3 linked regions of the Stegostoma tigrinum genome follow. The protein of the gene in region 1 binds, or shares a complex with, the protein of each later gene. Links are inferred from orthologs where the notes say so. Each region holds a gene or a part of one and is shown in the gene's direction. Other genes may lie near its edges.

Region 1 (7,819 bases):
TGGCTCAAGCAGCTTGATATAAACTTGGGCAATAGTTCAGAGCAGGAATCTAGCCCGAATCATACAATGCTCAAAGCTCTCAGAACAAAGTGTGAGCATCTTGGAATAAAATCCACTGTCTGATCCTTTCAGGACAAGCCCTCTTACTGAGATCATCCAGGGCCCAACACAGCTTCATGGTGATGATGTCAGGAGAGACAAAATGGTGCTAAGAATGGTGACCTGGTTCCAACCTGGAGAGGTGGAACCTGGGTACCTGATGGCAGAGGTGGTGGCATTCTAACTGCAGCGGTGTGCAGGGACTCAGGCACCTGAGAGTTTGCAGACTAAGGGATGGACTTTGTGGTTGTGTTTTTTCTGGTGATGAGGACTCATGGTGGAGGCGGGGGAGTGATCTGGATGTCTCCTTTTGGCTGTTTCTTTTATTTCTGCTTCTGTTTTTAATCCTGTCTCTTGCATCGGAGAATGGTGACTAGTACACTTTTCACTGTTCCCTGTATTTCTGCACCGGTGCACATGACTAAATCTAAATTCATTAACATTTGTTGCTTGCTAAACAGTTTTGCACAATAACTAGTTGTTGTGGAACCCCAAGAGATAAATGGGGTTGAGAAAGTCGAGGATGCTGTCTTAGAGCAATAATGTGAGCTGCCAAATATGGAGACAGGAAATTGAGGACATTCCTCAAAACTATCCATTGGATAAGGACCAACTCTCCACCTTTCCATGTTCCAGATCTTAGAAACATTATTCCAATATCCTGAGTACCGAGGAAGGGTCACCGGACCCTAAACGTTATCGCTGTTTTCTCCTTTACAGATGCTGCCAAACCTGCTGAGCTTTTCCAGCAACTTTGTTTTTTATTCCAATATCCTTTTTGGAGTCAACTTCACAGGTGTCTCTGCGCCAATGTGAGGATTTTAAAGAGCAACAGGAACTGAAAAAAAGTCCTCCGTTGTTTGAAAATATATATACTGATTTCACAAATTGATCCATTTATGATCAGTAACAACTCCGACATCTGCAAAACCCCTAATGTCTGCCTTGTGAATCTCAACCCACATTGCTGCTGGTTTCCCACTAAATACACTCCAGGAGGTGTAGAGTCTAATGAAGGCATCTGCGGTAACCCTGGTGTCTGATGTCAAGGAGCTCAATCTGCTGAAGATCTGGTGGGAAACATCTGCATCTGAACTTGGAGCAGTTTGGTCCTGCTGGTTGTCTGGTTTCATGGACATGCTGGTAAGTAAACAGTATAAAGAACAGACAACAGTTGCTTCCTCAATCAAATGAAACCTATTCCTATTGATGTGACAGTCAACACAGTAGTGCCTTGACAAGTGATCATTTGATACAAGCAGCCTGCATGGTCTTATTGCCATTTGCAAAGAGAGTTCATGAGTTGGAACTGTCAACTCCAACCCCAGCCAACTCCATATTTCCATTGACCATAACTTTTCACTCCTTTTAGTCAAAAATATATCTATGTCTACACCATAGAAAATACTCTGACACATCTCCATTGTTTTGTTGGGAAGAGTGTTCCAAACACTCATGACCCTTAGAAGAAGTTCTCTTTAGTTCAGTTATAAATGTATTTTTAAACTGTATCCTCTACTTCTAACCTCCAGATCAGCTATGATCTCATTGAATGGTGGAATGGGCTTGAGGGGCTGAACGGCCCACTCCTGTTCCAATGCCTCTCCTATGAGGTAAATATTTCTTTAGCATCCAACCTGTCAAATACCCTCAGCATCTCATATGTTTCAATAAGACCACCTCTCGTTCTTCCAAACGTAAATGGATAACAGGCCCAGTCTATCCAAACTTTCCTCATAAGCTCATCTCCGCAAACCCCAACTCAGAAATTTTTCAAATGGACCTTCTCTGAACTTCTTCTAATGTTTATACATATTTTCTTAAACAAGGCAACCAAAACTGTTAATTGTCTTCCAGATGTGCCATGCACCAGTAGCATACTTTTAAATTCCATTGCCCTGGCATTAAGCATAAGGAAATAGCACTCCTGTGCAGAATTCCCTCAGTAATTCAGTGTGTAGCTTTTGTAGTTGAGTTGTAAGACCATAAGATTTAGGACCAGAAGATGGCTATTCAGCCCACTGTGTTTGCTGTACATCTCAACAAGATGAGCTTCAACTCCAGTTTCTTGCTTTTTCCCTGTAAGCCTAGATTCCCTTCCTGCTTAAAAATCTCTCAGCCTTGAATATACTCAATCACCTTCTGTGGGAAAGAATTACCAGAAGCCCACAAGATATAGAATCAGAATTTGGCCATTTGGTCCATTGAGTCTGCTCCACTGTTTGGTCATGGCCGATTATATTTCTCAACCTCATTCTCTTACCTTCTCCCTGTATGACTTGATCCCGTACTAATTGAGAATCTATATCTGACTTAAATAAACTCGATGACTTGGCCTTCACAGCCCTCTGTGACAATAAATTCCACAAATTCACTACCCTCTGGCTGGAGAAATTCTAAAGGGTTGTCCTTCATTTTTTGATGATGTACCCCTGGCTCCTAATCTTTCCTACGAATGGAAACATTTTCTCCACCTACCACTCTACCTCGGCGTCTCAATATTCTGTAAGTTTCATTCGGATCTCCCCCACCTCCACCCCCTCCCCCCCCCCCCCCCCCCCCACTTACCCCCAACAACCTGCTAAACACCACCAAGTACGGATGCAGAGTCCTCAACCTCTCCTCGTTTCACAAGGCCTTCAGTCCAGGATCATTCTTGGTAAACATCTCTGGATCACTCCAATGCCAGCACATCCTTCCTTAGATAGGGGGCTCAAAACTCCTCATCATATTTCAAATGTGGTTTGAACAGAGCTTTACGTAGCCTCAGCAGTACATTTCTGCTCTTGTATTCTAGCCCTCCTGAAACTAACGGCATGATTGTATTTGCCTTCCAAATGCCAACTGAACCTGCGTATTAACCAGAAGAGAAGTCTAAACAAGTCCCTTTGTGCTTCAGGTTTCTGAAGCCTTTCCCCATTTAGAAAATAGTCCAAGTCTCCTCTTCCTACCAAAGTGCGTAACATTGCACTTTCCCACGTCGTATTCCCTCTGCCACTTCTTTGCCCACTCTCCAAGACTAACCAAGTCCTTCAGCAGCCTCCTGCTTCCACAGCACTCCCTACACATAGTTTTGTGTCAGTTGCAAACTTACCAACAATGTGCTCAGTTCCATCATCCAGATTATTAGTGTGTAACATGAACCTTTGTGGTCCACCACTGACCCCTGTGGAACTCTACTAGTCACTGGTTGCCATCCTGATAAAAACCCCTATCCCTACTCTCTGCCTTCTGCCAGTTAACCAATCCTCTATCTATGCCAGTACCTTATTCTTAACAGCATGGGCTTTTAACTTATTTAAGTAGCTTTGTTACAGCACCTTACTGAAGGTTTTCTGGAAATCCAAATAGTTTGTGTCCATTGCTCTTCTTTGTCGAACTTGCTTATTACCTCCTCAAAGAATTCTTAACAAATTTGTCAGGCATGACCTCCCTTTGACAAAACCATGCTGACTGAACACTATTTTATCACGTTCTTCCAAGTATTCTGCAGTCTCATTCTTAAGAATGAACTCTAAATTCTACAGATTCACTATCCTCTGATGGAAATTCCTCCTTATCTCTGTCTTAACCGTGCAGTTCCTTATTCTGAGATTACGCCCTATCAGAAAACATAGAGGAAGATGTAAGTGATAATGGGAACTGTGTAGCACTGGAATGAGATTATGATTTATCTGATAATCTTCAACTTTATTTTCCTGCCCTTGCCTCCTAACTCTTGCTTCCTTCCCTGATCTATCTCAGCCTTGAATATACTTAACAACGTAGCCTTAACAGCCTTCTGCAATAAAGAATTTCACAGATATATCACCCTCAGAGAAGAAATTCCTCCTTATCCCTGTCTTAAATAAGTGAACCCTGGGTTTGAGAATTTGCCATCTGGTCCTGGTCTCTCCCATAAAGGCAAACAATGTCTTGGATGGTGGGGTCGGATTGTAGATGGCGGAAGTGTCGGATGCGTTGTATCCGGAGGTTGGTGGGGTGGGATGGACATCAGTTACAAGCTGGTTGCCTGAGATGGAGACTGAGAGGTCCAGGAACAAAGAGGATCCCCCTCGTTCTCACACACCACACCTTGTTAAACACACTAAGAATCTCATGTTTCAATAGCCTTTGGGGGAGGGAGGAGGGACATGAATCCTTTGGGACTGGGGGGGGGGGGGGGGTGCAGATACTGAAGCACAACCGGTCCGCGCTCTCTCTCCCTATTTAATTCAGACCCCCCCCCCCCCCCGCTCCAATTTCTGAAGGAGGGTCTAGGCCTCAAACATCAGCCTTTCCTGCTCCTCTGCTGCTGCTGCTTGTCCTCCTGTGTCCGTCCACCTCCACACTGTGTTATCTCAGATTCTGCAGCGTTGGCAGTCCCTACTATCTCTATCTCGGATTCCTAATGGTCATTGTTAGCAGGATCTGATTACAGAGTTGACACATCAGTCTTGTTTTTTCGGTTGTGTTCACACACACAGACGAGCCGTACAGATTACTTCGGTTTTCATAGCACGGTCCACACGCCCCTCTGTCGGTTTGAAAATCCGTTTCTCCCACGCGCGCGCAGACTCACACACCTTCTCCGCCCCGGCCCTCACCCCCCCTACACCCATAAAACCTGCGACATGCCTGCACTCTAATTGGCTAGAACCGCCGTCAATCAGATCAGGTGATGTGGGGAGCGCGGGTCCCGCCCCAGCAGACCGCGCAGTGCCTGTCGGGACGGGCCGGGAGGACTGGGAGGTCCGATGGTGGCTCCAGGCGGTAGCGGGAGCAGGTGAGGGTGAGAGTTTGTCCGCAGCTCCGGGGTGTGGGACAGATGGATGAGGGAAACGGGTGTCTAGATGAGGGGCTGGTTCTTGACTCGATCACTTCCCCCCCCCCCACCCCAAACCTCCTGTTGGTTACGGGGCCGGGCTCCGGATAGGACCGGGCCGGTACGTTAGGCCGCGGAGCTGGGGTTTCTGTTTCTCCGGGTTCGGGGGACAGTGTCAGCGGCCGCCGCTTCCTGATCCCCGAAACCACCGCCACCCCGCTTAACGCCGTGCTCTTCCCGAGTGTGAGACATACACCGGGTTCGCAGAATCAAAGCATAATGACCGCTCAGCCCGCTCTGCCTGTCCTAGCACCACCCCCTTCCCTGATCAACAACAAAAACAGAAATTGCTGGGAAAGCTCAACAAGTCTGGTAGCATCTGTGGAGAGAAATCAGAGTTAATGTTTTGGTTCCGGTCACACTCTTCCTCCCCTCCTAAAGTCTGCCTCCTGTTTCTTATTTTTCATGTCCTCTGGGCAGGTGCTAGTATCTCCTTCCCCAAGTGCTATATTCTGCGTTCTTCCTAATTTGTGGGGATGTGGTATTGGTTTGGATTCTTTGGAAGCTATTCTTATCAAAATGTCTGAATGGAATGCTAGAATGCACAGGAGACCATTTGGTCCATCATACCTGTGCAGGCTCTTTAGAAGAGGCATTCACTCAGGCATGATGGTGGGCACCCAAAGGATGTTTCCTCTTCCCAGGAGAGACTAGATCAGAAATTAGATTAGATTCCCTACAGTGTGGAAACAGGCCCCTTCGGCCCAACAAGCCCACACCGCCCCTTGGAGCATCCCACCCAGGCCCATTCCCCTATAACCCACACACCCCTGAACACTATGGGCAATTTAGCACAGCCATTCCACCTAGCCTGCACATCTTTGGACTGTGGGAGGAAACGAGAGCACCCGAAGGAAACTCATGCAGACACGGGGAGAATGTGCAAATTCCGCACAGACAGTTACCTGAGGCTGGAATCGAACCCAGGTCCCTGGTGCTGTGAGGCTGCAGTGCTAACCACTGAGCCACTGTGCCGCCCCTGAAATCAGACAACTCCAGGTTATAGCCCAACAGGTTATTTGAAATCACAAGCTTGCAGACTGTACTCCCTCTGTCAGAGAGAGATTAGAACTGGGGAGCACAGTTTCAGAACAAGGAATATAAGCCGAAAGTGCAGGAGAAACTCAGCAAGCCTGACAAGATCTGTGGCGAGGAAGAAACATTTTGAGTCCAAAGACTTCTTCAGAGCCAAGAGATTTCCCTTTTAAAGACAGACAAGATTTTTTTTTACTCTGAGGGCTATTAGTCCGTTGATATCACTTGCACAGAAGGCAGTGAAGGCTGGAATATTGAATTTAATCAAGGTTGAGTTAGAGTTTTGACAAGCAAGGGAGTTGTGGGGTATGGTCACAAACAGAGAAGTGGAGCTGAGATCACAACCGGATCAGCCATAATGTTAATGAATTGTGGAGCAAGGTAAATGGGTCAAATGACCTAATTCTCCTGCTGTATCTTATGATCTTATGGATACTGGCTCCTGATGAAGTAATGCAGCAAAACGTGAGGCTGGATGAACACAGTAGGCCAAGCGGCATCTCAGGAGCACAAAAGCTGACGTTTCGGGCCTAGACCCTTCATCAGAGAGGGGGATGGGGTGAGGGTTCTGGAATAAATAGGGAGAGAGGGGGAGGCGGACCGAAGATGGAGAGAAAAGAAGATAGGTGGAGAGAGTATAGGTGGGGAGGTAGGGAGGGGATAGGTCAGTCCAGGGAAGACAGACAGGTCAAGGAGGTGGGATGAGGTTAGTAGGTGGAAGTGCGGCTTGGGGTGGGAGGAGGGGATGGGTGAGAGGAAGAACAGGTTAGGGAGGCGGAGACAGGTTGGACTGGTTTTGGGATGCAGTGGGTGGAGTGGAGGAGCTGGGCTGGTTGTGTGGTGCAGTGGTGGGAGGGGACGAACTGGGCTGGTTTAGGGATGAAGTTGGGGAAGGGGAGATTTTGAAGCTGGTGAAGTCCACATTGATACCATTAGGCTGCAGGGTTCCCAGGCGGAATATGAGTTGCTGTTCCTGCAACCTTCGGGTGGCATCATTGTGGCAGTGCAGGAGGCCCATGATGGACATGTCATCTAGAGAATAGGAGGGGGAGTGGAAATGGTTTGCGACTGGGAGGTGCAGTAGTTTGTTGCAAACTGAGCGGAGGTGTTCTGCAAAGCGGTCTCCAAGCCTCCGCTTGGTTTCCCCAATGTAGAGGAAGCCACACCGGGTACATTGGATGCAGTATACCACATTGGCAGATGTGCAGGTGAACCTCTGCTTAATGTGGAATGTCATCTTGGGGCCTGGGATAGGGGTGAGGGGGGAGGTGTGGGGACAAGTGTAGCATTTCCTGCGGTTGCAGGGGCAGGTGCCGGGTGTGGTGGGGTTGGAGGGCAGTGTGAAGGGAACAAGGGAGTCACGGAGAGAGTGGTCTCTCCGGAAAGCAGACAGGGGTGGGGATGGAAAAATGTTTTGGATGGTGGGGTCAGATTGTAGATGGCGGAAGTGTCGGAGGATGATGCGTTGTATCCGGAGGTTGGTGGGGTGGGATGGACATCAGTTACAAGCTGGTTGCCTGAGATGGAGACTGAGAGGTCCAGGAACAAAGAGGATCCCCCTCGTTCTCACACACCACCCCACCAACCTCCGGATACAACGCATCATCCTCCGACACTTCCGCCATCTACAATTTTTCCATCCCCACCCCTGTCGGCTTTCCGGAGAGACCACTCTCTCCGTGACTCCCTTGTTCGCTCCACACTGCCCTCCAACCCCACCACACCCGGCACCTGCCCCTGCAACCGCAGGAAATGCTACACTTGCCCCCACACCTCCCCCCTCACCCCTATCCCAGGCCCCAAGATGACATTCCACATTAA
Region 2 (6,879 bases), on another chromosome or scaffold:
TGCAGGTTTGGGTGGATTGGCCGTGCTAAATTGCCCCGTAGTGTCCAGGGATGTGCAGGTTAGGGTGGATTGGCCGTGCTAAATTGCCCCATAGTGCTCAGGGATGTACAGGTTAGGATGGATTGGCCGTGCTAAATTGTCGCTTAGTGCCCAGGGATGTGTGGGTTAGGGTGGATTGGCCGTGCTAAATTGTCGCTTAGTGCCCAGGGATGTGTGGGTTAGGGTGGATTGGCCGTGCTAAATTGTCCCATAGTGTCCAGGGATGTGCAGGTTAGGGTGGGTTGGCCGTGCTAAATTGTCCCATAGTGTCCACGGATGTGCAGGTTAGGGTGGGTTGGCCGTGCTAAATTGTCCCATAGTGCCCAGGGATGTGCGGGTTAGGGTGGATTGGCCATGCTAAATTGTCCCATAGTGCCCAGGGATGGGCAGGTTCGGGTGGATTGGCCGTGCTAAATTGTCCCATAGTGCCCAGGGATGTGCAGGTTAGGGTGGATTGGCCGTGCTAAATTGTCCCATAGTGCCCAGGGATGTGCAGGTTCGGGTGGAATGGACGTGCTAAATTGTCCCGTAGTGCCCAGGGATGTACAGGTTAGGGTGGATTGGCCATGCCAAATTGTCCCATAGTGCCCAGGGATGTGCGGGTTAGGGTGGATTGGCCGTGCTAAATTGTCCCATAGTGCCCAGGGATGTGCAGGTTAGGGTGGATTGGCCGTGCTAAATTGTCCCATAGTGCCCAGGGATGTGCGGGTTAGGGTGGATTGGCCGTGCTAAATTGTCCCATAGTGCCCAGGGATGTGCGGGTTAGGGTGGATTGGCCGTGCTAAATTGTCCCATAGTGCCCAGGGATGTGCAGGTTAGGGTGGATTGGCCGTGCTAAATTGTCCCATAGTGCCCAGGGATGTGCAAGTTAGGGTGGGTTGGCCGTGCTAAATTGTTCCATAGTGCCCAGGGATGTGCGGGTTAGGGTGGATTGGCCATGCTAAATTGTCCCATAGTGTCCAGGGATGTGCAGGTTAGGGTGGATTGGCCGTGCTAAATTGTCCCATAGTGCCCAGGGATGTACAGGTTAGGGTGGATTGGCCGTGCTAAATTGTCCCATAGTGCCTAGGGATGTGCGGGTTAGGGTGGATTGGCCGTGCTAAATTGTCCCATAGTGCACAGGGATGTGCTGGTTAGTGTGGATTGGCCGTGCTAAATTGTCCCATAGTGTCCAGGGATGTGCTGGTTAGTGTGGATTGGCCGTGCTAAATTGTCCCATAGTGCCCAGGGATGTGCGGGTTAGGGTGGATTGGCCGTGCTAAATTGTCCCATAGTGCCCAGGGATGTGCAGGTTAGGGTGGATTGGCCGTGCTAAATTGTCCCATAGTGTCCAGGGATGTGCGGGTTAGGGTGGATTGGCCGTGCTAAATTGTCCCATAGTGCCCAGGGATGTGTGTGTTAGGGTGGATTGGCCGTGCTAAATTGTCCCATAGTGCCCAGGGATGTGCAGGTTAGGGTGGATTGGCCGTGCTGAATTGTCCCATAGTGCCCAGGGATGTGCGGGTTAGGGTGGATTGGCCGTGCTAAATTGTCCCATAGTGCCCAGGGATGTGCAGGTTATGGTGGATTGGCCGTGCTGAATTGTCCCATAGTGCCCAGGGATGTGCAGGTTAGAGTGGATTGGCCGTGCTGAATTGTCCCATAGTGTCCAGGGATGTGCGGGTTAGGGTGGATTGGACATGCTAAATTGTCCCATAGTGCCCGGGGATGTGCAGGTTAGGGTGGATTGGCTGTGCTAAATTGTCCCATAGTGCCCAGGGATGTGCAGGTTAGTGTGGATTGGCCGTGCTAAATAGTCCCATAGTGCACAGGGATGTGCGGGTTAGGGTGGATTGGCCGTGCTAAATTGTCCCATAGTGCGCAGGGATGTGCGGGTTAGGGTGGATTGGCCGTGCTAAATTGTCCCATAGTGTCCAGGGATGTGCGGGTTAGGGTGGATTGGCCGTGCTAAATTGTCCCATAGTGCCCAGGGATGTGCGGGTTAGGGTGGATTGGCCATGCTAAATTGTCCCATAGTGCCCAGGGATGTGCAGGTTAGGGTGGATTGGCCGTGCTAAATTGTCCCATAGTACCCAGGGATGTGCGGGTTAGGGTGGATTGGCCGTGCTAAATTGTTCCATAGTGCCCAGGGATGTGCAGGTTAGGGTGGATTGGCCGTGCTAAATTGTCCTATAGTGCCCAGGGATGTGCAGGTTAGGGTGGATAGGCCGTGCTAAATTGTTCCATAGTGCCCAGGGATGTGCGGGTTAGGGTGGATTGGCCGTGCTAAATTGTCCTATAGTGCCCAGGGATGTGCAGGTTAGGGTGGATTGGCCGTGCTAAATTGTTCCATAGTGCCCAGGGATGTGCGGGTTAGGGTGGATTGGCCGTGCTAAATTGTCCTATAGTGCCCAGGGATGTGCAGGTTAGGGTGGATTGGCCGTGCTAAATTGTCCCATAGTGCCCAGGGATGTGCTGGTTAGGGTGGATTGGCCGTGCTAAATTGTCCTATAGTGCCCAGGGATGTGCAGGTTAGGGTGGATTGGCCGCGCTAAATTGTCCCATAGTGTCCAAGGATGTGCGGGTTAGGGTGGATTGGCCGTGCTAAATTGTCCCATAGTGTCCAGGGATGTGTGGGTTAGGGTGGATTGGCCGTGCTAAATTGTCCCTTAGTGCCCAGGGATGTGCAGGTTAGGGTGGATTGGCCGTGCTAAATTGTCCCATAGTGTCCAGGGATGTGTGGGTTAGGGTGGATTGGCCGTGCTAAATTGTCCCTTAGTGCCCAGGGATGTGCAGGTTAGGGTGGATTGGCCGTGCTAAATTGTCCCATAGTGTCCAGGGATGTGTGGGTTAGGGTGGATTGGCCGTGCTAAATTGTCCCATAGTGTCCAGGGATGTGCAGGTTAGGGTGGATTGGCCGTGCTAAATTGTCCCATAGTGTCCAAGGATGTGCGGGTTAGGGTGGATTGGCCGTGCTAAATTGTCCCGTAGTGCCCAGGGATGTGCGGGTTAGGGTGGATTGGCCGTGCTAAATTGTCCCATAGTGTCCAAGGATGTGCGGGTTAGGGTGGATTGGCCGTGCTAAATTGTCCCGTAGTGCCCAGGGATGTGCGGGTTAGGGTGGATTGGCCGTGCTAAATTGTCCCATAGTGTCCAAGGATGTGCGGGTTAGGGTGGATTGGCCGTGCTAAATTGTCCCGTAGTGCCCAGGGATGTGCGGGTTAGGGTGGATTGGCCGTGCTAAATTGTTTATTAACCAGTCCCTGATCTCCACTGCGCTCTCCTTCCGTTTGAATGTCTGAAGTCCTGGTCGCGAGGCATCTCCCTTCTGTAATTTATTTCACATTATACCTTTGCTTCGCCTTGCCAGGAAAGGGTCACGTTTTCGCCCTGCCCCTGTGACTTGCGACAGGATTGGCGGGGGACAACCCTGGGTGAATGAATGGGATCTTGCTATGCGGAGACAGCAAGCGACTGGGTTGGTTGGGGGCGGGCAACCCTGGGTCGGATGGATGGGCACTTGCTGTGTGGGGATACATTGTCCCAGTCAACGCGGAGAGAGGAGGGCGACAGCATCACCCCAACGCCCCAAGACGAAAGGGCCATCATGAACCGAACATGACCGTTTTTCGGTGCTTTCCAGAGCCAAGGGGGCGGCCTTTCTGCTAAAATCAAAATGTGGCCACAAAATAATTGCGCCAGGCCTAGAGTTGGGGGTTTGAGTTCGCAAACACTCTGATTAGGTTTAGACCCGCAGCCATGTGTTAGAAAGATAATTGTTTTCATGTTTTTAAGGGAAAGGTGGTGACAGAAGCCTTTTGTGCTAGGCCTCTTCAACAAGAACTTTATTGTTCCAGGCCCTGGCCGCCGGGTTGTTGTTGTTGGGAAGATGGCGGCGGCGGCGGCGGAGCCCGAGCCCGAAGCGGAGCCGGAGCCGGGCCCCGGGAAGAAGCGGCGGATCCGGGGGATGCTCAAACTCTACTACGGCCTGAACGAGGGCTCCCGGGAGCCGCTCGACCCCGGGGACATCGACGGGGCCCACTTCCAGCCCGAGTTTTACCTCAACAAGGTGCCGCCCCCCCCCCTCACACACCCCCCTCCCCCCCCCCTCACACACCCCCCTCCCCCCCCCTCACACACCCCCCTCCCCCCCCCTCACACACCCCCCCTCCCCCCCCCTCACACACCCCCCCTCCCCCCCCCCTCACACACCCCCCTCCCCCCCCCCTCACACACCCCCCTCCCCCCCCCTCACACACCCCCCTCCCCCCCTCACACACCCCCCCTCCCCCCCCTCACACACCCCCCTCCCCCCCCTCACACACCCCCCTCCCCCCCCTCACACACCCCCCTCCCCCCCCTCACACACCCCCCTCCCCCCCCTCACACACCCCCCTCCCCCCCCCTCACACACCCCCCCTCCTCCCCCCCTCACACAGCCCCCCCTCCTCCCCCCCTCACACAGCCCCCCCCCCCTCAGCCCCCCCCTCCCCCCCCCTCACACAGCCCCCCCCTCCCCCCCCTCACACACCCCCCCCCTCACACACACCCCTCCCCCCCCTCCCCCCCTCACACACCCCCTCCCCCCTCACACACCCCCTCCCCCCTCACACCCCCCCCTCACACACCCCCCCTCCCCCCCTCACACACCCCCCTCCCCCCCTCACACACCCCCCTCCCCCCCCTCACACACCCCCCTCCCCCCCCTCACACACCCCCCTCCCCCCCCTCACACACCCCCCTCCCCCCCCTCACACACCCCCCTTCCCCCCCTCACACACCCCCCTTCCCCCCCCTCACACACCCCCCTTCCCCCCCTCACACACCCCCCTCCCCCCCCTCACACACCCCCCCCCCCCTCACACACCCTCCCCTCCCCCCCTCTCACACCCTCCCCTCCCCCCCTCTCACACCCTCCCCCCCCTCACACACCCTCCCCCCCCTCACACACCCTCCCCCCCCTCACACACCCTCCCCCCCCCTCACACACCCTCTCCCCCCCCTCACACACCCTCCCCCCCCTCACACACCCTCCCCCCCCCTCACACACCCTCCCCCCCCTCACACACCCTCCCCCCCCTCACACACCCTCCCCCCCCTCACACACCCTCCCCCCCCCTCACACACCCTCCCCCCCCCTCACACACCCTCCCCCCCCCTCACACACCCTCGCCCCCCTCACACACCCTCCCCTCCCCCCCTCAAACCCTCCCCCCCTCAAACCCTCCCCCTTCCCCCGCCATAACTGCCCCTTCCCCCGCCATAACTGCCCCTTCCCCTTCTACCATAACTGCCCCCCTCCCCCAGCCATTTCTACCCGCCCTCTCCTTGGACTTCTGCCCCAGCCACTTCCCAGTCTTTTCCTCTCCTCCCCCGCCAAATCTTCCCCCCTCTTGAAATCTTCCAATCCCCCTCCCAACTTCTGATCCTCCATCCCCAATCTGGCTTCCCCCCCCACTCCTCCTCTCCCTTGCCCTCCCCACAGTGAGAGGAGAGGCGTTGTGCCCTTCCCACAGAGAGGGGAGTTTTGACCCTCCCCAGACTGAGGGGTGGCTGGGTGTTGTGGGACAGTCAAACACCTCCCGCACAGGGAGAACGGGGAAGGATATGTGACCCTCCCCTAATGAGAGAGAGGGAGGGAGGGAGGGGTGATCCTCAATCAGAGTGCAGTGAATGTTTGATAGAGAGTGGGCTCGCGGAGTGCATGACCCTTCCCCTGTGGAAAAAGGGGAGTATGAGTGAGCAAAGGGGAATGTGAGTGTCACCTCTTCAGGTGAGATGGGAGAAATGTGCGGTGACCCCCTCCCACCAGCGGAAACACAGGTTTCTTGAACACGTGAATGCTGGGTTAGGACAGTCGGACCAGGTGCTTCCTGTGGAGTCCAGAGCCCAGCAAGAGCCCGACACAGCCAGCAGCAGGAGGGATGATCACGGGGTCCGTTGCTAACATAATCTGCTCACTCTCTCCTGTGTGACAGCTCAGGAAGGAGTGCACACTGGCAGAACTGATGGAAAGTGAAGCTGAGATGGTGAAACACATCCGAGCCCTGGACAGCGACATGCAGACTCTGGTCTATGAAAACTACAACAAGTTTATCTCTGCCACAGGTAGGGCAGAAACGTAGAGTTTGTAGAAGTTAGGAGTCAGCCACTTGGTATGATCACGCTGATGCATTTTGGTAATACAAACAAGCACAGGACTTAAACAGTTCGTGGTAGGGTCCTGGGGAGTGTTGTACAACAGAGTGACCTCGGGATTCAGGAACATAATTCTTTCAAATTTGCGTCACAGGTAGACAGAGTTAAGAAAGCAAAAGAACTGTGCATGTCACCAATCAGGAAGAAAAACAGAAGTTGCTGGAAAAGTTCAGCACATCTGGCAGAACTAAGGAAGCGTCACCGGACCCAAAGCATTAACTCGGTTTTTCTCCTCCACTGAGCTTTTCCAGCAACGACTTGGTTTTTGTTTCTGGTTAATGAAGTGTTTAGCACGCTCACCTTCATTGCTCAGTCGTTTGAGTACAGGAGTTAGGGACGTCTTGTTGAGGTTGGACTGGATGTTGATGAGGTCTCTTCTGGAGCACTGTGTCCAGTTCTCGTCGTCCTGTTATAGGAAATAAAGTGAGAAGCTGGAAAGATTGATCAGGATGTTGCCGAGTTTGGAGGGTTTGAGATATTAAAATAGGGGTGGCACGGTGGCGCACTGCAGCCCCACAGGACAAGGGACCCGGGTTCGATTCCACCCTCGGGCGACTGCGTGGAGTTTGCACATTCTCCCCCTGTCTGCGGGGGTTTCCTCCGGGTGCTCCAGTTTCCTCCCACTGTCCAAAGATGTGCAGGTTACGGTGGATTGGCCGTGTT
Region 3 (7,508 bases), on another chromosome or scaffold:
ACAAGCGCCAGGCAATGGCTATCTCCAATAAGAGACACAATCTAACCAACAACAGTGGGAATGTTACACAGAACGAGTGGCAACATCAGGAGTTGAACCAGGTCAGCAGTTGGGAGATTGCGGGGCAAGGGAAAAGGAAGATGTTACATCCAAATGTTGGGATATCACAGAAGCTGGCTTGCATCCCAGCACGAAGGGCTAACAAGATCAAAGAAGTGACATGGCACAGGATCAGGCCATTCTACCCTATATTGCTTGCATTGGCTGTACTCCCCAGTGCCCAATCTCCTGCCTTTTCCGCTGTGCACCATTTCCAAACAAACACCCATCCAATGCCCCTCTGGGAATATCGCAATGAAACCTGCCTCCCCCAACATTTCCAGGCAGTCCACACGCTCACTACCAGCCTGGAGATAGGAGTCTTTACCCCAGCCTTCTCACCTTGGTTCCTGCAGTTCCTCCCGGCGAGTATGAAATTCTTCAAACATTGTGATGATTTCAACATGCCCAGCTTGTCTGGCCAAATCCAAAGCATCTCGCCCCGTGGAATCGCACACTCCAATCCATGCAGCCCCACGGTTCAGTAAGTACTTCACCACCTCTGCCTGCCCGCTGTACGCCGCACACATTGTGGCAGTCCAGTAATAACTGTCCCGGAAATTTATATCACACATTGCAGTCTCCAGTAACCTGCGAAGCCTTTTCAGGTCCCCATCCTGAGCACATTTTAGCAGGAGGTGTCCATTCCTCTCCGTTGCTGCAGCAGGCAGACTCCTTGGAGTTTGCTCCCTGTTGGTCCTTTCAGTCTTTGACGTCTGCCAAACAACTTTACGTTTCCGAATGGAACTCGTACCTGCCTCACCATCTGATGTGAGAAGGCTCTCATAAAACTTTTTCACCTCATCTCCAGTCAGGACTTCAATCCCGGGGCCAGGCGATGGAGGTTTCTGACGCTCTCCATTTTCCCAGGTGTCTGTTTCATCTTTGGCTCGGGTAAAAGTGATGAGGTTCATGTGATCCATGATGAAGAATGTTCTTTGCCTGCACTTCTGATTACTTAGGGCTCACTTTGCTACTGGCAATGGGCACTTCACATCCCAGAGACAACTGTGTGCAAAAGCAAAAGCAGAATTTGCAATAACTGTCATTTTTTTCAGAGTTGCAATTGAATAAATACAAAAACCAATCTGATAGAGTAGCTACAGACATAAGACTAATATCAAATTGAGAAGAGAAATGAGGAATATTACAAGACTAACATAGGAAGATTAGTACGATATAGTGACAACAGCATATTAACAGTGTTATAGAGTCACACAGCATGGTAACATATCCTTTACTCCAACCAGCGTAAACTAAACTAGTCCCATTGCCTGCACTTGACTCATATCCATCCAAACATTTCTTATTCATGTACCTATCCAAACGCTGTAACTGTATCGCATCCACCACTTCCTCTGGAAGTTCATTCCACACATGAACCACACTCGGTGTTTAAAAAAAAATGCCCCTATTATCCTTTTTAAATTGTTCTCCTCTCATCTGAAAAAGATGCCCCCTAGACTCGCAATCCCCCACCCAAGGGAAATGACTCCTGCCATTCACTGTATCTGTACTCCTCATCATTTTAAAAACCTCTGTAAAGTCAACGCTCAACCTCCTACAACACCAATAAAAAAAGACAACCCCGCCAATCCAGCCTCTCCTTACAACTCAAATCCTCCATTCCTGGCAACATCCTGGTAAATTTTTTCTGACCCCTCTCCAGTTTAATAATATCCTTCCTATATCAGGGCGACCGGAACCGCATACAGTGCTCCAGGAGAGGCCTCACCAACATCCGACAACCTCATCGCAACTTCAAAACTCAAACGTCTGATACAGAAGGTAAAGGTAAAGTTGCACAGGGTCAGAGGTGAGATTGCAAGAAGATGGAAAAAACTGGCTCAGTCATAGAAGACAGAGGGTAACAGTGGAAGGGTGTGTTTCTGAATGGAGGGCTGTGGCATTTAGAAATATACAATAGGTGTGTTTAAGAGACTTTTAGATCAGCACATGAATAGTGGCATTCCTCAGGGATCAGCGTTGGGACCTTCACTGATGGTAATATACATAAATGATTTGGAGGAGAAAGTAACTGGACTGATCAGTAAGTTTGCTGATGACACAAAGGTTGGTGGAATGCAGGTAGTGATGAGGACCGTCAAAAGGAAACAGCAGGATATAGATTGCTTGGTGTCTTGGGCAGAGAGATGGCAGATGCAGTTTAATCTGGAAAAACGCGAGGTAATGCATTTTGGAAGGTCTGATTCAGTTGGAAATTATAACGTAAATGGCAAGAACCCTTAAGAGTACCGATAGCAGAGGGATCTGGGTGTACAGGTACACAGGTCACCGAAAGGGCAACACAGGTGGAAAAAGTAGTCAACAAGGCATACGGCATGCTTCCCTTCATTGGCCAGGGCACTGGGTTTTAAAAGGGGGGGGGGGGGGGTAATGTTGCAGCTTTAAAGAACCTTTGATCAGCCGCATTTGGAATATTGTGTTCAATTCTGGTCAGCACACTACCAGAAGGATGTGGTGGCTTTGGAGAGGATACAGGAAATATTTACCAGAATTTTGCCTGGTATGGAGGGCATTAGCTATTAGGAGGGGTTGGAGAAACGTGGGTTGTTCTCACTGGAACGACAAAGGTTGAGGGGTGACCGGATAGAGGTCTACAGGATTATGAAGGGCATGGACAGAATGGTCAGTCAGAAGCTTTTTCCCCAGGATGGAAGAGTCAGTTACCAGGGGCCATGGGTTTAAGGTACGAGGGGATAGGTTTAAAGGTGATGTATGAAGCAAGTTTGTTTTTTTTTTACACAGGAGGGTGGTGGGTGCCTGGAAGGCGCTGCTGGGGGTGGTACTGGAAGCTGATACTGTAGTGACTTTTAAAGGACGCCTTGACAATTACATGAATAGGATGGGAATAGAGGAATAGGGTCTCCGGACGTGTAGGGGGTTTTAGTTGTGATGGGCAGCAGGTCGGTGCAGGCTTGGAGGGCCGAAGGGCCTGTTCCTCTGCTGTAATTTTCTTTGTTCTTTGTGTCAGCAAGGAAGGCAGGTGTACAATTACCTTCTTAACCACCCTGTCTGCATGTGACGCAAAACCTCACAGAATTATGTCGCTGAATCCCTAGGTGTCCTTGTTGTCCAACACCATCCAATGCCTAACTTTTAATTGTACAGGTCTTACCCTTGTTTGTTTCACTAAAATGTAATCTCACATTCACCCAAATTAAATTCCATCTGATACTCCCTCACCCGCATCCCAGGCATGAAGAACCGCAGGAGATGCTACACTTGTCCCCACACCTCCTCCCTCACCCCCATCCCAGGCCCCAAGATGACATTCCACATTAAGCAGAGGTTCACCTGCACATCTGCCAATGTGGTATACTGTATCGACTGTACCCGGTGTGGCTTCCTCTACATTGGGGAAACCAAGCGGAGGCTTGGGGACCGCTTTGCAGAACACCTCCGCTCAGTTCGCAACAAACAACTGCACCTCCCAGTCGCAAACCATTTCCACTCCCCCTCCCATTCTTTAGATGACATGTCCATCATGGGCCTCCTGCACTGCCACAATGATGCCACCCGAAGGTTGCAGGAACAGCAACTCATATTCCGCTTGGGAACCCTGCAGCCATATGGTATCAATGTGGACTTCACCAGTTTCAAAATCTCCCCTTCCCCCACCGCATCCCTAAACCAGCCCAGTTCATCCCCTCCCCCCACTGCACCACACAACCAGCCCAGCTCTTCCCCCCCACCCACTGCATCCCAAAACCAGTCCAGCCTGTCTCTGCCTCCCTAACCTGTTCTTCCTCTCACCCATCCCTTCCTCCCACCCCAAGCCGCACCCCCAGCTACCTACTAACCCCATCCCACCTCCTTGACCTGTCCGTCTTCCCTGACTGACCTATCCCCTCCCTACCTCCCCACCTATACTCTCTCCACCTATCTTCTTTACTCTCCATCTTCGGTCCGCCTCCCCCTCTCTCCCTATTTATTCCAGTTCCCTCCCCCCATCCCTCTCTCTGATGAAGGGTCTAGGCCCGAAACGTCAGCTTTTGTGCTCCTGAGATGCTGCTGGGCCTGCTGTGTCCATCCAGCCCCACACTTTGCTACCTCATTGCTGAAGGATTAATTAGCAATCGCGGGCAGACCTCGTCCCCGCCCGCTGTGCCTCCGACACTGGGAACCTTTACACATCTACCACCGCGACATCGCTAACACCAGGAGGCCTTACCGCGCCGCCGCGGTGCACCCCGGGAGGACGTGGGCGGCCGCTGTGCGCGCCGGGAGTTGTAGTCTTCGCTCCTTGCGTCCCTCTACTCCCCACCCCCACCACCACCCCCCCCCCCCCCCACCCCCTACACCACCCCCACCCCCTACCGAACTGGGTGAGGATCAGGGTCAAACCGCAGGGACCTTGTGGCCCGGATTTCTTTTTGGGGGGGGGGGGGAGAGAAAAACGAACCCCGCCCCCCCTCGGCTGGCCGGGGGATTCCGGTTCCGGGTGAGGAGACGGGCCCCGGATGTTGTTGCTATGGCGGCGGTGGAAGGCGGAGGAGCGGCTGAGGTAGGGACGGGACCGAAACCCCCCCTCACCCCCCGGGGGGTGGGACCTTGTCTATTCACCCTATCCAAGCCCCTCATGATGTTATAAACCTCTATAAGGTCCCTCCTCAGCCTCTGACGCTCCAGGGAAAATAGCCCCAGCCTATTCAGCCTCTCTCCCTGTAGCTCAAACCCTCCAACCCCAGCAACATCCTTGTAAATCTTTCCTGAACCCTTCCAAGTTTCACACCATCCTTCCTGTAGCAGGGAGACCGGAACTGAGAGCTGTATCCCAAAAGTGGCCCAAACCAATGTCCTGCCCAGCCCCAACATGACCCTCCCAACTCCCTGTACTCAACGCACTGACCAATAAAGGCTAATGTACCGAACACCTTCACCATCCTGTCTCCCTGTGAGTCCACTTTCAAGGAACTGTGATCCTGCACCGCCCCCCCCTCAACAAGGTCTCTGTTCAGCAACAGTCCCCAGGACCTTACCATGAAGGAGTATTAGTCCTGCCATGATTTGCCTTTCCAAGATGCAGCACCTCACATTTATCTAAATTAAACTCCATCTACTTGGCTGATCTGAATGAGATCCCCTTATACTCAGGTAACTTTCTTCACTGTCTACTACACCTCCAATTTTGGTGTCATCTGCAAACTTACTAATCATACCTCCAATTTCATATCTAAATCATTTCTATAAATGACAAAAAGCAGCGGACCCTGCACCGATGCTCGTGGCACACCACTGGCTTCCAGCCTCTAATTTTTTTTAAAAAAAACCCTACTGCCAACCCCTTCTGCCTTCAAACCAATTTTATATCCAATTGGTTAGCTGCCCCCTAGATCCCATGTGATCTAATCATGCTAACCAGCCTACCATGTGGAATCTTGCCAGATGCCGCACTGAAATCCATTTGGACAATATTCACCGCACTGCCTTCGTCAGTTTTCTTTGTCACGTTTTCAAACAACTCAGTTAAGTTATTGAGACATGATTTCCCACCTGCAGAGCCATGTTGATTATCCCCAATCAGTCCTTACCTTTCCAAATGTGTAGGAGGAGGGAGGGGAGGATTCACAGATAGACAGGGCAGTGAAGGTGGTGTTCAGTACGCTTTAGCCTTTATTAGTGAGTGCATTGAGTAGAGGAGTTGGGAGGGTCATGTTGGGGCCATACAGAACATTGGTCAGAGCCACTTTTGGAATACAGCGTGTTGAAGCCTCTGAAGTGTGACTTGAATCTGTGAAGGACCTTGAGTTGCTGTCTTTCAGACTTGAGGCTGAAGCAATGATTTCTTGGCTTGTGCAGCTGAAGCGAAAACTTGCCATGTTATTTTGTTTAAAAGGAGAGAAGGGGCAGTGAATTGTCCACTGTTCATCCCTCAATCAGCAGCAGCAGTCAACAAAATAATTGGACCTTATTTAATTAATTTCTTAGAGCTGGTTCACTCAATTGATTCCAGAGATGAGGGGTTTGCCTTTTGAAGAGAGGCAGAGCAGTTTAGGCTTACGCTGTCTGGAGTGTAGAAGAAAGAGAGGATATCTAATTGAGGGATAGAAGATGCTAATGGGGATTGAGAAAGTAGACATAGAGAGGATGTTTCCCCTTGAGGGGCAGTCTGGAAGGAGAGGTCATAGATTGGCCATGCTAAGTTGCCCATAGTGTCTAGGGTAAGGGGTGGGTCTAGGTAGTATACTCTTCAGAGGGTCACTGTGGACTTGATGGACCAGATGGCCTGCTTCCACACTGTAGGGATTCTATGATTTTCGGATAAGGGATGGCAGATTTAAAACAGAGATGAGGAGAAGTTACTTCTCTCAAAGAGCTGTGAACCTGTAGAATTCACTGCCTCAACGGATGTTGAGACACTGGGTCAACTTTTACTCGCTCACAGGATGAGGGTGTTGCTGGCTACACCTGCGTTTACTGCCCGTCCCTAATTGCCCTGAGGGAAGTTAAAAGTCCACCCAACATTGAAGTGATTGATTTTTAAATTAGTGGAAGGGTTGAAGGATTATGGGCAGGAGAGGAGTTGAGGCTGAGATAAGATCAGGCAGATTGGCATCAAATGGTGGAACAGGCTCAATGGGCTGGATTCCAGCTCCTGATTCTGATGTGGGTTTTTTTATGGGGGCTTGCTGTGCAGAAACTGGTTGCCATCTTGAAATTTTTAGTTTATTCATTCACGGGATGAGGGCGTCGGTGGCCAGGCAGCATTTACTGTCCTTCCCCAGTTGCCCCAGAGGGCAGGTAAGAGTCAACCACATTACTGTGGGTCTGGAGTCACATGTAGGCCAGCCCAGGTAAGGACAGCAGTTTCCTTCTCTAAAGGACATTAGTGAACCAGATGGGTTTATCCTGACAGCAATGGATTCATGATCATCATTAAATTCTTAATTCCGGATATTTTTATTGAATTCAAATTCCGCCATCTGCCATGGGCGGGATTCGAACCCAGGTCCCTAGAACATTATCTGCGTCTCTGGATTAATAGTCCAATGATAATACCACTAGGCCATTGCCTCCCACATAATTACTGACCTTTGAAATTCCACGTTGTGGAAGTATTGTGGGATATAAAAGCAGTTTTGTACTTTTTAGGCCCGAAATGTCAGCTTTCCTGCTCCTAAGATGCTGCTTGGCCTGCTGTGTTCATCCAGCTACACACTTTGTTATCTCGGATTCTCCAGCATCTGCAGTTCCCATTATCTCTTGTGCTTTTATTCTGTTCACAGCCACGAATTGGACTGTAGCCGCCCATATTCATGAGAACAAAAGAGAACAGGAGCGGAATGGACTCTTCAGCCCATCGAACCTACCTCATTGTTCAGTATGACCATGCTAAGTGTTGCGATTCAGCTCCAGTCTCCTGCACCCACCCCGTTTCCCTGGGC

What was found. The genes of interacting proteins can lie anywhere in the genome.
Region 2: vps54 (region 1) and vps51 share a complex: the UniProt entries of both Homo sapiens proteins name them as parts of the golgi-associated retrograde protein (GARP) complex. The link is inferred for Stegostoma tigrinum from reciprocal best matches to the Homo sapiens genes VPS54 and VPS51.
Region 3: vps54 (region 1) and vps52 share a complex: the UniProt entries of both Homo sapiens proteins name them as parts of the golgi-associated retrograde protein (GARP) complex. The link is inferred for Stegostoma tigrinum from reciprocal best matches to the Homo sapiens genes VPS54 and VPS52.

The regions. Positions count from the first base shown.
Region 1 is NC_081362.1:1,791,727-1,799,545, reverse strand, and holds the start of vps54 (vacuolar protein sorting-associated protein 54), read left to right. Parts: upstream 1-4,807; 5' UTR 4,808-4,864; intron 4,865-7,819. UniProt on the Homo sapiens protein: Acts as a component of the GARP complex that is involved in retrograde transport from early and late endosomes to the trans-Golgi network (TGN).
Region 2 is NW_026728199.1:142,953-149,831, reverse strand, and holds the start of vps51 (vacuolar protein sorting-associated protein 51 homolog), read left to right. Parts: upstream 1-3,864; 5' UTR 3,865-3,907; coding exon 3,908-4,087; intron 4,088-5,996; coding exon 5,997-6,126; intron 6,127-6,879. UniProt on the Homo sapiens protein: Acts as a component of the GARP complex that is involved in retrograde transport from early and late endosomes to the trans-Golgi network (TGN).
Region 3 is NC_081387.1:27,635,453-27,642,960, forward strand, and holds the start of vps52 (vacuolar protein sorting-associated protein 52 homolog), read left to right. Parts: upstream 1-4,493; 5' UTR 4,494-4,594; coding exon 4,595-4,627; intron 4,628-4,996; exon of another isoform or gene 4,997-5,196; coding exon of another isoform or gene 5,197-5,217; intron 5,218-7,508. Other genes in the region: gpank1 (G patch domain and ankyrin repeat-containing protein 1), read right to left, coding at 442-1,022. UniProt on the Homo sapiens protein: Acts as a component of the GARP complex that is involved in retrograde transport from early and late endosomes to the trans-Golgi network (TGN).